Linked DNA regions of Ovis aries. The protein of the gene in region 3 purifies or fractionates together with the protein of the main gene of each other region. This does not show direct contact. Links are inferred from orthologs where the notes say so. Each region holds a gene or a part of one and is shown on either strand. Other genes may lie near its edges.

Region 1 (3,652 bases), on a different chromosome or scaffold from region 3:
CTCTGAAACCAATGGAAAACGAATAGGAATTTACTGAGTAAATCTCTTATTAGCCTAGACAATTTTTATTTTAAATGACAACTTCTAATTATTTAGGAAGTGTTCAGGATAATGCTAAGGGAGTAAAACCATCACATGTGATCTTGTTTCTCTAAGTATGCTAAGTATGAAAGCTCTTGCTCAAATGTGTTACATTCATATTCAGACTTTTCAGAGTATCTTGGACTGCAAGGAAATTAAACGAGTCAATCTTAAAAGAAATCAACCCTGAATATTCACTGGAAGAACTGATGCTAAATCTGAAGCTCCAATACTTTGGCCACCTGGTGCGATGAGCTGACTCATTGGAAAAGACCCTGATGCCAGGAAAGATTGCAGGTGGAAGGAGAAGGGGATGACAGAGGATGAGACGGTTGGATGGCATCCCCAACTCAATGGACTTGAGTTTGAGCAAGCTCTGGGAGATGGTGAAGGACTGGGAAGCCTGATGTGCTGCAGTCCATGGGGTCACAAAGAGTCAGACACAACTGAGCCACTGAACAACATATCCAGCCAATCTCAAAATACTTCATGAAATTAAAAGTCGGTGTGTCACTAAAATCAAATCCCACTAGGAAATGCCTACAATACATTTGAGAAACTTTTTTAAAATATTGATTTTTACAGGTAAAGTCAAACCATAATACCTAGATGGATATAAAGCCTTCTTGTCTTTGAAGAGTTCACTGGCTTCTAGCTTCTCTTCATAGATAAGTTTCTGTTGGTCTGTGAATTGGTCCCTGTATTTTTTACACTGTGAGATATGAAAAGAAGAAGAAAAAAAGACATCACTTATATAAGTAAATCATTACTCATCCTTAAATATGCTAAACCAATTTAACAGCAGTTAAAAATAAGAGTAAACGTGTATGAGATATTCATTAAAAGGTCAAGAGAATTTTTCCTTCTTGAGTTTTAAAAGGCTGGTCTTGGAAAATATCATAAAAACTATTTGTGTTGCAGAACTTGTGATGCTTCTTCAAAACATACAAGAACTTCTCTGGCCTGAGCCCTCCTGAGAGTACCGTTTCCTCCCACTACGTCAGCCCTTGGACATCCACACTTTTTCGGAGACTCACAGGAAGAAAAACATGGTCCATCACAGCCCAGCATGCATATTTATACACACACATATATACAATTGATACAAAAGCTTCAAAAAACAGTGCTTATCCTGTCTACATGTCATATATCCTGTTATTTTCATTTCAAAATGCTGGTAGTAATACTACTAAATTGATTTCATGACTCACAAATATGTTACGATCTATAGTTTGAAAAGCAATGCTCCAAACCCTCCATTACCATTTCATGACATGGACATTGCTGTTTCTTGTTGTCTGTCGCTCAGTCATGTCAGACTCTTTTGTGACCCCATGGACTATAACCTGGCACACTTTTCTGTCCATGGAATTTCCCAGGCAAGGATACTGGAGTGGGCTGCCATTTTCTTCTCCAGGGGATCTTCCCAACGCAGGGATTGAACCTGAGTCTCCTGCATTGACAGGTAGATTCTTTACCACTGAGCCACCAGGGAAGCTGGAATGTGGAAATAGGACCTGAGAAATCTCCCCTTCACACTGACTCTGAGATTGTACTGAAAGGAGACAGGGGATGGCATGAGGAGCAGGACCAGTTTCTTTAGATGAACTTTCTAGGAAATCCAGTTCACGGATGGGTGAGAATCACCCACATGATCAGATCATCAGCATTACTGCCCACCCTTGGAATAAATGCATCCTTCTCTTCTCTCCACGCCCCAAACCAAGGGAGGTAAGGGCAAAATTCAGGAGCCAGGGGGAAGGGGAGGCGGAGCAGATGCCTAGTATTCACAACCTCCCATCATTATTTCTGAAATAGTTTCTGTATCAGACTCAAAGGGGGAAGTGAACGTTGAGATAATGGCAAATCTTGCCAAACTGACTCACTAAGTAGGAGAACAGGACTTAGTATTCCATTCCACAGGCTGTGCTGGGAACAATCATTACAGTGATTAGTGATAATGTCTCTCTGTATATACATATGATTCAGCTAAGAACAAGTCCCAGCACTGAGCAGGAAAGTTTCCTGGAAGATGTATCCATCATTTGCTCACTCACTAAATACAAGCGCTTCAACCTAAGACTTCATTCTATCCAAATGACAAATAATTGTACCATTCCATGTACCAACTAAGTTACTGAAATAAAGTCAACCTCTATACAAGTACCCCACGTAGTCCACGCTGAGCACGACCTAAATTACATGTTACGTGCTCATGTAAAATTAAGTGAGCTAAAATATAAGGCCAAATCAAATAGATTTTCAGCTTCCCTTTCATTCAGAGAGAGGGAAATTATATGTCCTTTGGGTGACTTTAGAGCTTTTCTCCCCAGTCCATCAGAATGTGTATGTTCTCATATATGTCTATGTAGATCTATGTAGAAAGTAAACTCATATAATTTGTGAGACTCTACTATTCACATGGAGATGTTCAAACTTTATTATTTCTACCTCCAGTAGTATTTCTTCAGATAAACATGAAGACAAGAAATCGAACTACTTGAAAGCAACTAGAATCTGGACAGAAAAGACAATGCAGTCCTGGAGACATCACAGGAGCAACGAGGGTGCTGCGAATTCTCACAGATAGCCAAGCATGCTTCTAACTTCAAAATCCTGCTTTTATGTTACCCTTTGCAAACACTCAAAATAGATGGCAAGACGTCTTCGAAAAAACATAAAAAGATGATTTTTACCCTCCACAAGTGGAAAATCCTTTTTAGCTCCTTGTGAGTAGAATCCAAGAACATGTAGGGTCTCGATGGCCAATTCTTATCTATCGGAGATAAGGAAGGCACCTTATTTTTCATTTCCAAGAAGTATTTTTGCACCTGTGTTGGGTTTGACAGAAAATATCAGGTGAGTCAAACACACCAGAAAAAGAAAACACTGTCTAATACAAACCGGACTCAAAGAAACCAGTCTTTAGTGGAATTTAGCAAGTTCTGGTCCATAAAACTTTGTAACTCCTCCGAAAAGTCTCTACTCTACTATTCTCACTGGCTGGAGAAATCTGAGCTCCACCAAATGGTTAAGGAAAAAGAAAAATAACCAACGTGAATACTAATTTTATTATTATCACCAATACGAAGAGCTGCAATGTCTAACAGGCAGCCACACATGGCTCATGACTACTCTACTGAACCACAAAGATACAGGACGTTTTTGCCACTACATAAAGCTCTACTGGACAACACTGCTCTCGAGCACTTGCCATGGGTCAGGCACTGTGGGGGCTTTACAGTGTGACTTCATCGGAACCCTTACCCTAACTCTACGAGTTAAGTGCTATTACTATCCCCACTTTACAGATGACAAAATCAGGCTTTCAAATCTGTGAGTGGTGGAGCAAGCCGGCTTCAGAGTTCACACTCTTCAGCACTACACCTATTCTCAGAAAAACGGAGAACTTTTGAATCCATCCTGGGAGAGGAGCACAGCCTCGCTCTCCCACACCCCTCCACCCACTAGTCTGTTTGCCAGCCTTGCTCGGCAGTGGTCCATGGCAGTTTAGCAGGGCAAGATCTTGGCATTCCCCTCAAATTCCTATGGTGAAACCCTAACCCTCAAT
Region 2 (3,752 bases), on a different chromosome or scaffold from region 3:
AAAGGCAAACTTGTTCAGTCAAGTTTGAAAGATACACAACCCCATTTCTACCTTTCAACTTTTGGATTAAGGCCAGTGGATTTATCTTCCTTCTTACTCCCCGATGATACATCTGCCCCTATATAATTTGCTATCTAAATTACTACCACCACTCTCCATTAGATTTAAAAACACAAGTCTGTATAAACTCAAGTACAATCATTTCTAACTCTCACTGCACCCAAATAACTCGATTAGCACTATCTATTGATATTTCCCTAACTCACCAAAAACAAAGTTGTCTGGTCTGAAGATCTGACCAAAAGGACCTGAGCGAACAGAGTCCATGGTTCCGGGTTCTAGATCCACCAAGATAGCACGAGGGACATATTTGCCACCTAGAAGAAATAAAGTAGAAGAGTGAAAACTGGAAGACATAGAGATAAATAAATTGGGGCCAAGAGAGCCGGGGACCCATATGTGTGATTTCAGACACTGCCACCAGGTGGCAGCAGAGACACTGGGAAAAGCGAGAAAGGTCTCCAGTGAGTGTAGATAGATTCATTCAAAGGGGGTAAAAGGTGTCCCGGGGAGGCAGAGACCCCAAAGAAGTGGGAGAGATGGGACCCCTGCTTCCCGGGCTCTTGCCCTCACCTGTGGCTTCATTGTAGTACACGGAGATGCGGTCCAGTTGTAGGTCGCTGTCCCCATGATAGGTGCCGGTGGGGTCGATGCCATGTTCATCACTGATTACCTCCCAGAACTGCCAGGGAAGAGCAAAGAGTCTTCAGCATCTCAGGGTGCAGCCAATTATGCTCCCCTACTGCCATTTTAGCTCCAGATTCGCCTGTGGCGGGCCCTCCCCAAAGATCTAGCATTTCTTCTGCCTGCCACACCCTTCCCCTAGCCACATGCACCTTCGGGGAAAAGGCAGCTTTCACTGCCTGGGACGTGAGATGCTGTGTGGCTTAAAGGGTCCGGGGATTGCGCGGGGTGGGTAGATGGAGGTAGTCACCCTGGGCACAAAGAGACGGGGCGGGGAGGGGTGCAAAGAAAAGGAGGCACTGCAGCAGCCCACCCCGCCCTGCACGTGACCGCGGCGCACGCACGCGCCAGGCGGCCGACAAAGGGAGGTGCCGCGCGAGGGCGGGGCCGAAGGGCGAATTCCGCGCGCCAGGGGCGGGGCTTGGCTCGGGCTCGCGCGCCCCCCGCCGGCCAGCCTGGCCGCATTGTCCCAGCGCGCCAGGGGCGCCCGGGTCCCGCCCTTCTGCTACAACGTAGCAGCCGCACTTCCTCCCTGCCCCTCCCCCGCTACACTGTAACCGCGCGCAAAAAAAAAAAAAACCCTCCCCCTTGGCCTCGAAATTTCATTTCTTTGCTAGCTTTTAACCCCCTTGCTTTAAATGAGGTTTTTCTTCCTTTGTCCTATTCTCTAGCTCTGAGGAACCCCTTCAAAGAATGGACTCCCTTTCCTTCCTCGCCCTTTCTCCCTATCTGTCCACGCCCTTAAGAGTCTGTTAAGGGGAAATAAAAGGAACAAATTAGTCTAGCACATATTAGCCTTCCATGCACGAAAAACTGCGGGACCGCCCCTTGGGGATCGCGAGCGCCCGGAGATTCCTGATCATTTGTAAAGGATATCGCCCAGCCCACCTGGCTCAGCGCGCCCCTACATTTGGATCTGACCTCTCGGCAGCTGCCCGCCATCCTCGCCCCTTCCCCCCTCTGGGTTAGCCCCACGAAGCCCCGCCAAGGGGGATGCACATGGGGAAAACCTCATCCAGCTTTTGTCTCGGGCCGTTTCCGCATCTCCCTCGCTCCCCGGTCCTCGGACCGTTAGGAGATCCCCTTTCTAAGTAAAATTTTACAGAAACTCGGTTTTCCCGCCCCCTAACCCTGAAGGGTGCTTTTAACAGCTTCCCCAAAATAAGCCTGCCAAGAAAAATAATTCCTCATTTTTCAAAAGCAAATCCTAAGGTTCAAAGGTGCATTTATATATAAAAGTTTTGAGGGGCAAATCTGGACTAAGAATGGAAGATGCAAACGTTCTACAACCATCCGTCATAATATACCTGTTTGGATTTGTTTTTTTTTTCCTTAAAAATAAATACAGTCAAAAGAGGTTAAAAATCCTTACCTTGGCACCGATCTGATTGCCACACTGACCGGCCTGGATGTGCACGATTTCCCTCATTGTTAAAATTTATTCTAATCTTTTTGCTCGCCTCAAAGTATGTACGGGGCAAAAAAATAATACGGAATTAGTTTTTCTCTGCTGCTGGTCGCAGGGTGAAAAGATGGAACGGGACCCGGAGGCTGAAGCAGCGAGGTCCGAACGCGGCGGCAGGAAGGTTCTGAGAGGGAGAAAGGAGAGGGGAGGGCGCGGGAGGAAAGGCGGGCAGGGCGGGGCGCGCGTGCGCGGGGGCCGGGAGGCGGGAGAACTCTCCGCGCGCCGCGGTGGAGAGACAAAGCCTCACTAGGCTGGCCCTGATTAGTCCGTGCCGGTCCTGTATCACAAGTCCATTGGTCCTTGCTGGACGAGCGCAGTCCTGCCTGGGAGTTGTAGTTCTCTATTGTTGTCCACGCTGCAAAATGAAAGGACGAATGGGTGGGTACTGGGTCTGGGGGTTTTGGTTTAGGTGTTTTGACTGAAAAACGGCCTGGCGCTAGGGTTCCTTCCTCTATGCCTGACTCTTCTGGTATCAAAAGAGAGTAGTTTTAGCAGGGTACAGGAATTGGGAACCCTGGTGTGCCAGGCTTTGGAAGGTGGAGTGAGGGCACGCCCTGAAAGCTCCCCGCTGCGGTAGCTCTTGGGAAGACAGGACTGCTTAGCTCAGCGAAAACGGGGAGAAATGCGGCACCCTGATCTGCTATCTAACAGCTGGTCCCTGGTGACCCAACTGGCATGAACTCCAGTGAGCTCCGGCTCCCCCAGATATCTCGGGAAGGAGGAGGGCATTGCCTTCCTGCTATTTCCTTGGGAGCTTTCTAACGATAATATTTAGAAAGAAACAAAATTGCATCAAGGACTTTTCAGTATAAAAAGTAATTGTTTGGAAGGTATGTTCAAGAATAGAGAAGCAGATATGCCGGAAGTCTCCGTCCATGTGGGGAATCTGCGCCTTAGAGCAGCGTTTAACACAGTTTTGTCAAGAGGCGAACTGTGGGGTGAGATACCTGATAGGCACTTTGATGAAGTCAGTGTTTTTTCAACTCGCTGATTTCACTGAGAGGTGGTTGACCATTGCAATCTTTCAAGAACCTCGGGATTAAAATAAAAGTAGGGAGGGTGATGGGAAAAAAATGGATGAGCTCAAATCTGAGTGGCATGTTTCTTCTCAGGGATTAATTCAACTTGAGCGATATTAAATGTCCACCAAAGGAGCTAGGATGAAGGATTAGCTCACTGGTGGCTCAGGCGGTAAAGCGTCTGCCTACAATGTGGGAGACCCGGGTTCGATCCTTGGGTTGGGAAGATCCTCTGGAGAAGGAAATGGCAACCCACTCCAGTACTCTTGCCTGGAAAATCCCATGGACGGAGGAGCCTGGTAGGCTACAATCTATGGGGTCGCAAAGAGGACACGACTGAGCGACTTCACCTTCACCTTACCTCACTGTCCTCCAGGATCTTGCAATTTGGTGAGAAGTGTATAACCACTAGTGTGGTAAGCACCATGATTAAAGGACATGGGATATCAGGCTCCGTATGTGCTCAGTCATGTACGACTCTTTGCGACCCCATGGACTGCAGCCCGCCTGGCTCCTCTGTCCAT
Region 3 (3,652 bases):
CAAATAATAATGCCATTTCTCAAAGCATTTGTTTTTAACCTCCTCATCCGGTATTGCCTTCAGAGTTCACGTACAAGCGCAGAAAACAGACTGGTCTTATCACCAGTAAACTGGTCTAACTTGCTGTTAGCCTAAAGTAGTACCAGTCCAGCTTGATGAATCAACTACTCTTTTCATAGACTTCCTCAACTAAATCCAGATTTTCTCAAAACAAACTCATACTTTAAGAATTCTTTTTTAAAATATGATAAATGGTCTGATATCAATGATAAGAGAGAAGCTATTAAAATATTATAAGTAACAGCAAAGTTCTGTAAGTATAGATATAGTCTCAAAAGGAAATTCCCTGGGTAAAGAGGATATTTAATTGAATATATTAATTTGGTGCATTTGTTTCTTAAAAGTCATATCACTCTTTAATCATATGTCTCACAAAAGAGTAGCAAAAACTAGAGATAAATGATACTTTATTCTTCTAACATAAAATTTCCATTGACCCACATTTGTAAAAGCTTTTATTGATTGTGATAAATGTGTGGAAAGATATAAATGTGCAAATTCTCTCTCTGAGCACCACAAAGACTGGCACACTTATAAATGGCTCATTAAGTTTTAGACAGAGCATAATCTGTGGAAATGGAACAGAACTAAGCTAACTGGATAATGTGTTATAACCAAGGTGACCGTGTAATTTATCATCCAAACTGGAATGCTTCTGAGAATGTAGTGAGACACAATTAATAATTACACTGGGACTGTCCAGGCAAAACAAGACCCTTGTTAGAAGCCACAGCTTTGATCGTTAGTACTAATGAGCTAAACCAATAGAGACTAACGGTGAAATCCACTATTGTGTTTGTCATATGGAACTATTCAAAGTGTTTTTCAGTACAGTTTACCCCTTGCTATCTGTAGAGCCCAGGTAAAATTTCTTTCTCTTTTGTATTAAAAACAAGCATTTGTTAACCAATTTATTTGTGTTTTATGAACTCTATGAACTCTATTTGTCTTACCAGAAAGAAAAACTTTGTAAATCAAAAACATAACTCTTGACATAAAGTTTGTATGAACTAGAATATTGCTTACACATTGTTGAAAACCAAATTAGTGACCGTGGTGACCAGATGGAAGAGCCTTCTCTCAATATTGAAGGAAAAAAAATATTTGAAAGGGGGAATCACAGTGACAAAGACATGAAGGAACAACAAAGACCAAGACGAGCATAAAACAGAAACTCCAAAAGGAGCAGATGGAGAAAAAACAGTCAAAGAAAAATACAAGAAAGATCACTCCAAGACCCCAACATCCATCGTTATCCTTTTGACTGAATCACTACTATAGGATGTTGGGAGAGAAAGGGCATCAAAAACATGTCCCCAGATTCTCTCAGGAACATTCTCTCAGCCTCTCAGATATCCTTTTAGTTTCTCTCAGGATCCTCAATTATTTCTAATTCCCAATTCTGTGAGTTCAAAATTAAGTCTAACATAAATAATTTTAAAATTAAAAGTACTTGAATAATGCTAACAGCTAAGAAAACCCCATACTTTTAAGATAGTTATTCTTTTCTCAAGACTGCTGACATTTCTTAGCAGTTGCAGAATGTAACAGTTAATAAATTATATTTATCTACCACCTAGGGTAGGCAATGAACCATGTTACCTTGAAATTAAGGCTCTCATTGATGATGGTTTTCCGAAGTTTTGCCAAAGCATCAGATTCCTCAGTGGCATTCACAAAGTGGTAATCTCGTATTGCAGGAAATCCTCGTTTGTTCAAGAGTTCCTTGGTAATTTTACTGATACAGGCTTTGCGCTGCTTCTCATCAGTAACATCTAAATGTGTACCAACAAGAATCACAGGAGAAGAAGAAGCACGGGCCTATGGGGGAAGACACAAAACACTCTTGTGTTTGTTTTAAAAATCAAGACTGCTTATATTTCCACTGATATTCACTTTCTATGAAATTCACTAGAATCGAAATGAGAATTCAAAAGACTTCAAGAAGAAAATGACAACTGTCTTCCCTTCCTTAAACCTAAGGGAACAAATTAAACTTAAGAAATTTTTAAAAGTCATTTTTATGCTCCTTCTTAATCTAGTTATTGTCACTTTTCAGGTGGTCCATGTGACAGTAATAACACATTTCTTTCCTCTCTGCCTAAAATGGGTTATTCTTTAAGTGTGCTTTGGGCTTCTAGATAAAATAATATTTAATAACACCCAAATAATATCAGAGTAATACAATTTGTTTTATATTTTCTCTTCCTTATCTGTGAATTAAAGCTCATTAATTCATATTATAGTAATTCAGTGTGGCTTCTACAAAGAAAAAACAAGTCACTAAAGTAATAAAGCATTTGGACAGTAATTTGAAGTAGAGGATTTATTTGGCAAAAACAGAACTATGTTCAGCGAGTGGAACTGAACATTATCTTTCATGCAAAGTTAAAAGCACATTGTATTTCCATCCTGACCACTTGCCCAGTCCCCATCTCTTTGAGAGAGAAAAACTTCATCTAAATTATTTCATCTGATTGATGACTGTCATTTATAACTTTATTGCTACTTCTGTCTTAGGTATTCCTTTGGAAAAGGTGTATGGATTCATTACATATTCTAATGTATTGTCTATAGATTATAAGATAAAGTCAAGCGTGTATCCACTGATACTTTTTAAGTTGGCCTGTCTTTATACTTAGAAATGTCTCTTAATAGTAGGCTTCCCTGGTGGCTCAGATTTGCCTCACAGAAGAGCCTACTAGAGCATTATTCAATGACCATTCATTTTTACTTTAGTATCAATTATAAAAAGGCACAGATTTTTAAAACCATATATACATGAAGGAATATCTAACAGCAAGAGACAAAATGGAAAAGTTGCAAAATTTCAAATATATAATATTCATCTGGGACCATTTAAAACTGTAAGTCCCACAGGGCTTTATACTAAATTGCCTCTGAGGACACAGTTGGTAATGCATAGATTGCTTCTTTTTCTTACTACAGTTTATTTTAAATTAAGGAAATTCATATTATACATAAGTAATAATACCAGGGAGCTCCCTGATACCCTCGTGGTTAGGATTTTGGGGCTTTCACTGCCATGGTCCAAGTACAATCCCTGGTCAGAGAACTTAGATCTTGCAAGCCACACAGTGCAGCCAATAAATAAATAAAATAAAATAAAAAAGAATATAAAAATAGCCTAACATATATTCTCATTTTTAATAGATTAAAAAAGCTTCAAGTTTCTATACCTTTCATTAACATAGAACATACTATTTTCATGTCACAACTTAATTACTCCTAAAAATTTCCTAACTCAAAGTTTAAGTGCTTCTAACTTTCTTGCAAAAAAGTATTTGAAAAGTCTGCTTGATGGTACTATTTGCCCCAAATAAATCACCTTATATAGAATAAGAAAACTCATGAAATATTTTCTATTCTCAAATTATTAGATCATATCACCTTTATATTGAAAAGCCAAGGCTTCATGGCATCAACTTCTGCTTGTCCTTTGCTGAGGTCATAGACCGCAAGATACAAGGCTCGTTGGGTCATAAAGTGGGGATGAGTGCTGTAGAATTCCTCACGACCTAAATAAAGATTGGAGAACTTTTCAGTCTTCCAGAGAATAGACAAGAATTCT

Evidence for each region.
Region 1: the proteins of LRRK2 (region 3) and MYO1B purify together in Homo sapiens (affinity purification with mass spectrometry; 3 studies listed by BioGRID and IntAct, with this or other methods). This does not show direct contact. The link is inferred for Ovis aries from reciprocal best matches to the Homo sapiens genes LRRK2 and MYO1B.
Region 2: the proteins of LRRK2 (region 3) and TUBB purify together in Homo sapiens (co-immunoprecipitation; 5 studies listed by BioGRID and IntAct, with this or other methods). This does not show direct contact. The link is inferred for Ovis aries from reciprocal best matches to the Homo sapiens genes LRRK2 and TUBB.

The regions. Positions count from the first base shown.
Region 1 is NC_056055.1:193,674,136-193,677,787, reverse strand, and holds part of MYO1B (unconventional myosin-Ib), read right to left. Parts: intron 2,913-3,652; coding exon 2,778-2,912; intron 794-2,777; coding exon 687-793; intron 1-686. UniProt on the Homo sapiens protein: Motor protein that may participate in process critical to neuronal development and function such as cell migration, neurite outgrowth and vesicular transport.
Region 2 is NC_056073.1:27,416,303-27,420,054, forward strand, and holds the start of TUBB (tubulin beta chain), read right to left. Parts: upstream 2,341-3,752; 5' UTR 2,174-2,340; coding exon 2,117-2,173; intron 743-2,116; coding exon 634-742; intron 378-633; coding exon 267-377; intron 1-266. UniProt on the Homo sapiens protein: Tubulin is the major constituent of microtubules, a cylinder consisting of laterally associated linear protofilaments composed of alpha- and beta-tubulin heterodimers.
Region 3 is NC_056056.1:146,910,922-146,914,573, forward strand, and holds part of LRRK2 (leucine-rich repeat serine/threonine-protein kinase 2), read right to left. Parts: intron 3,600-3,652; coding exon 3,472-3,599; intron 1,882-3,471; coding exon 1,663-1,881; intron 1-1,662. UniProt on the Homo sapiens protein: Serine/threonine-protein kinase which phosphorylates a broad range of proteins involved in multiple processes such as neuronal plasticity, innate immunity, autophagy, and vesicle trafficking.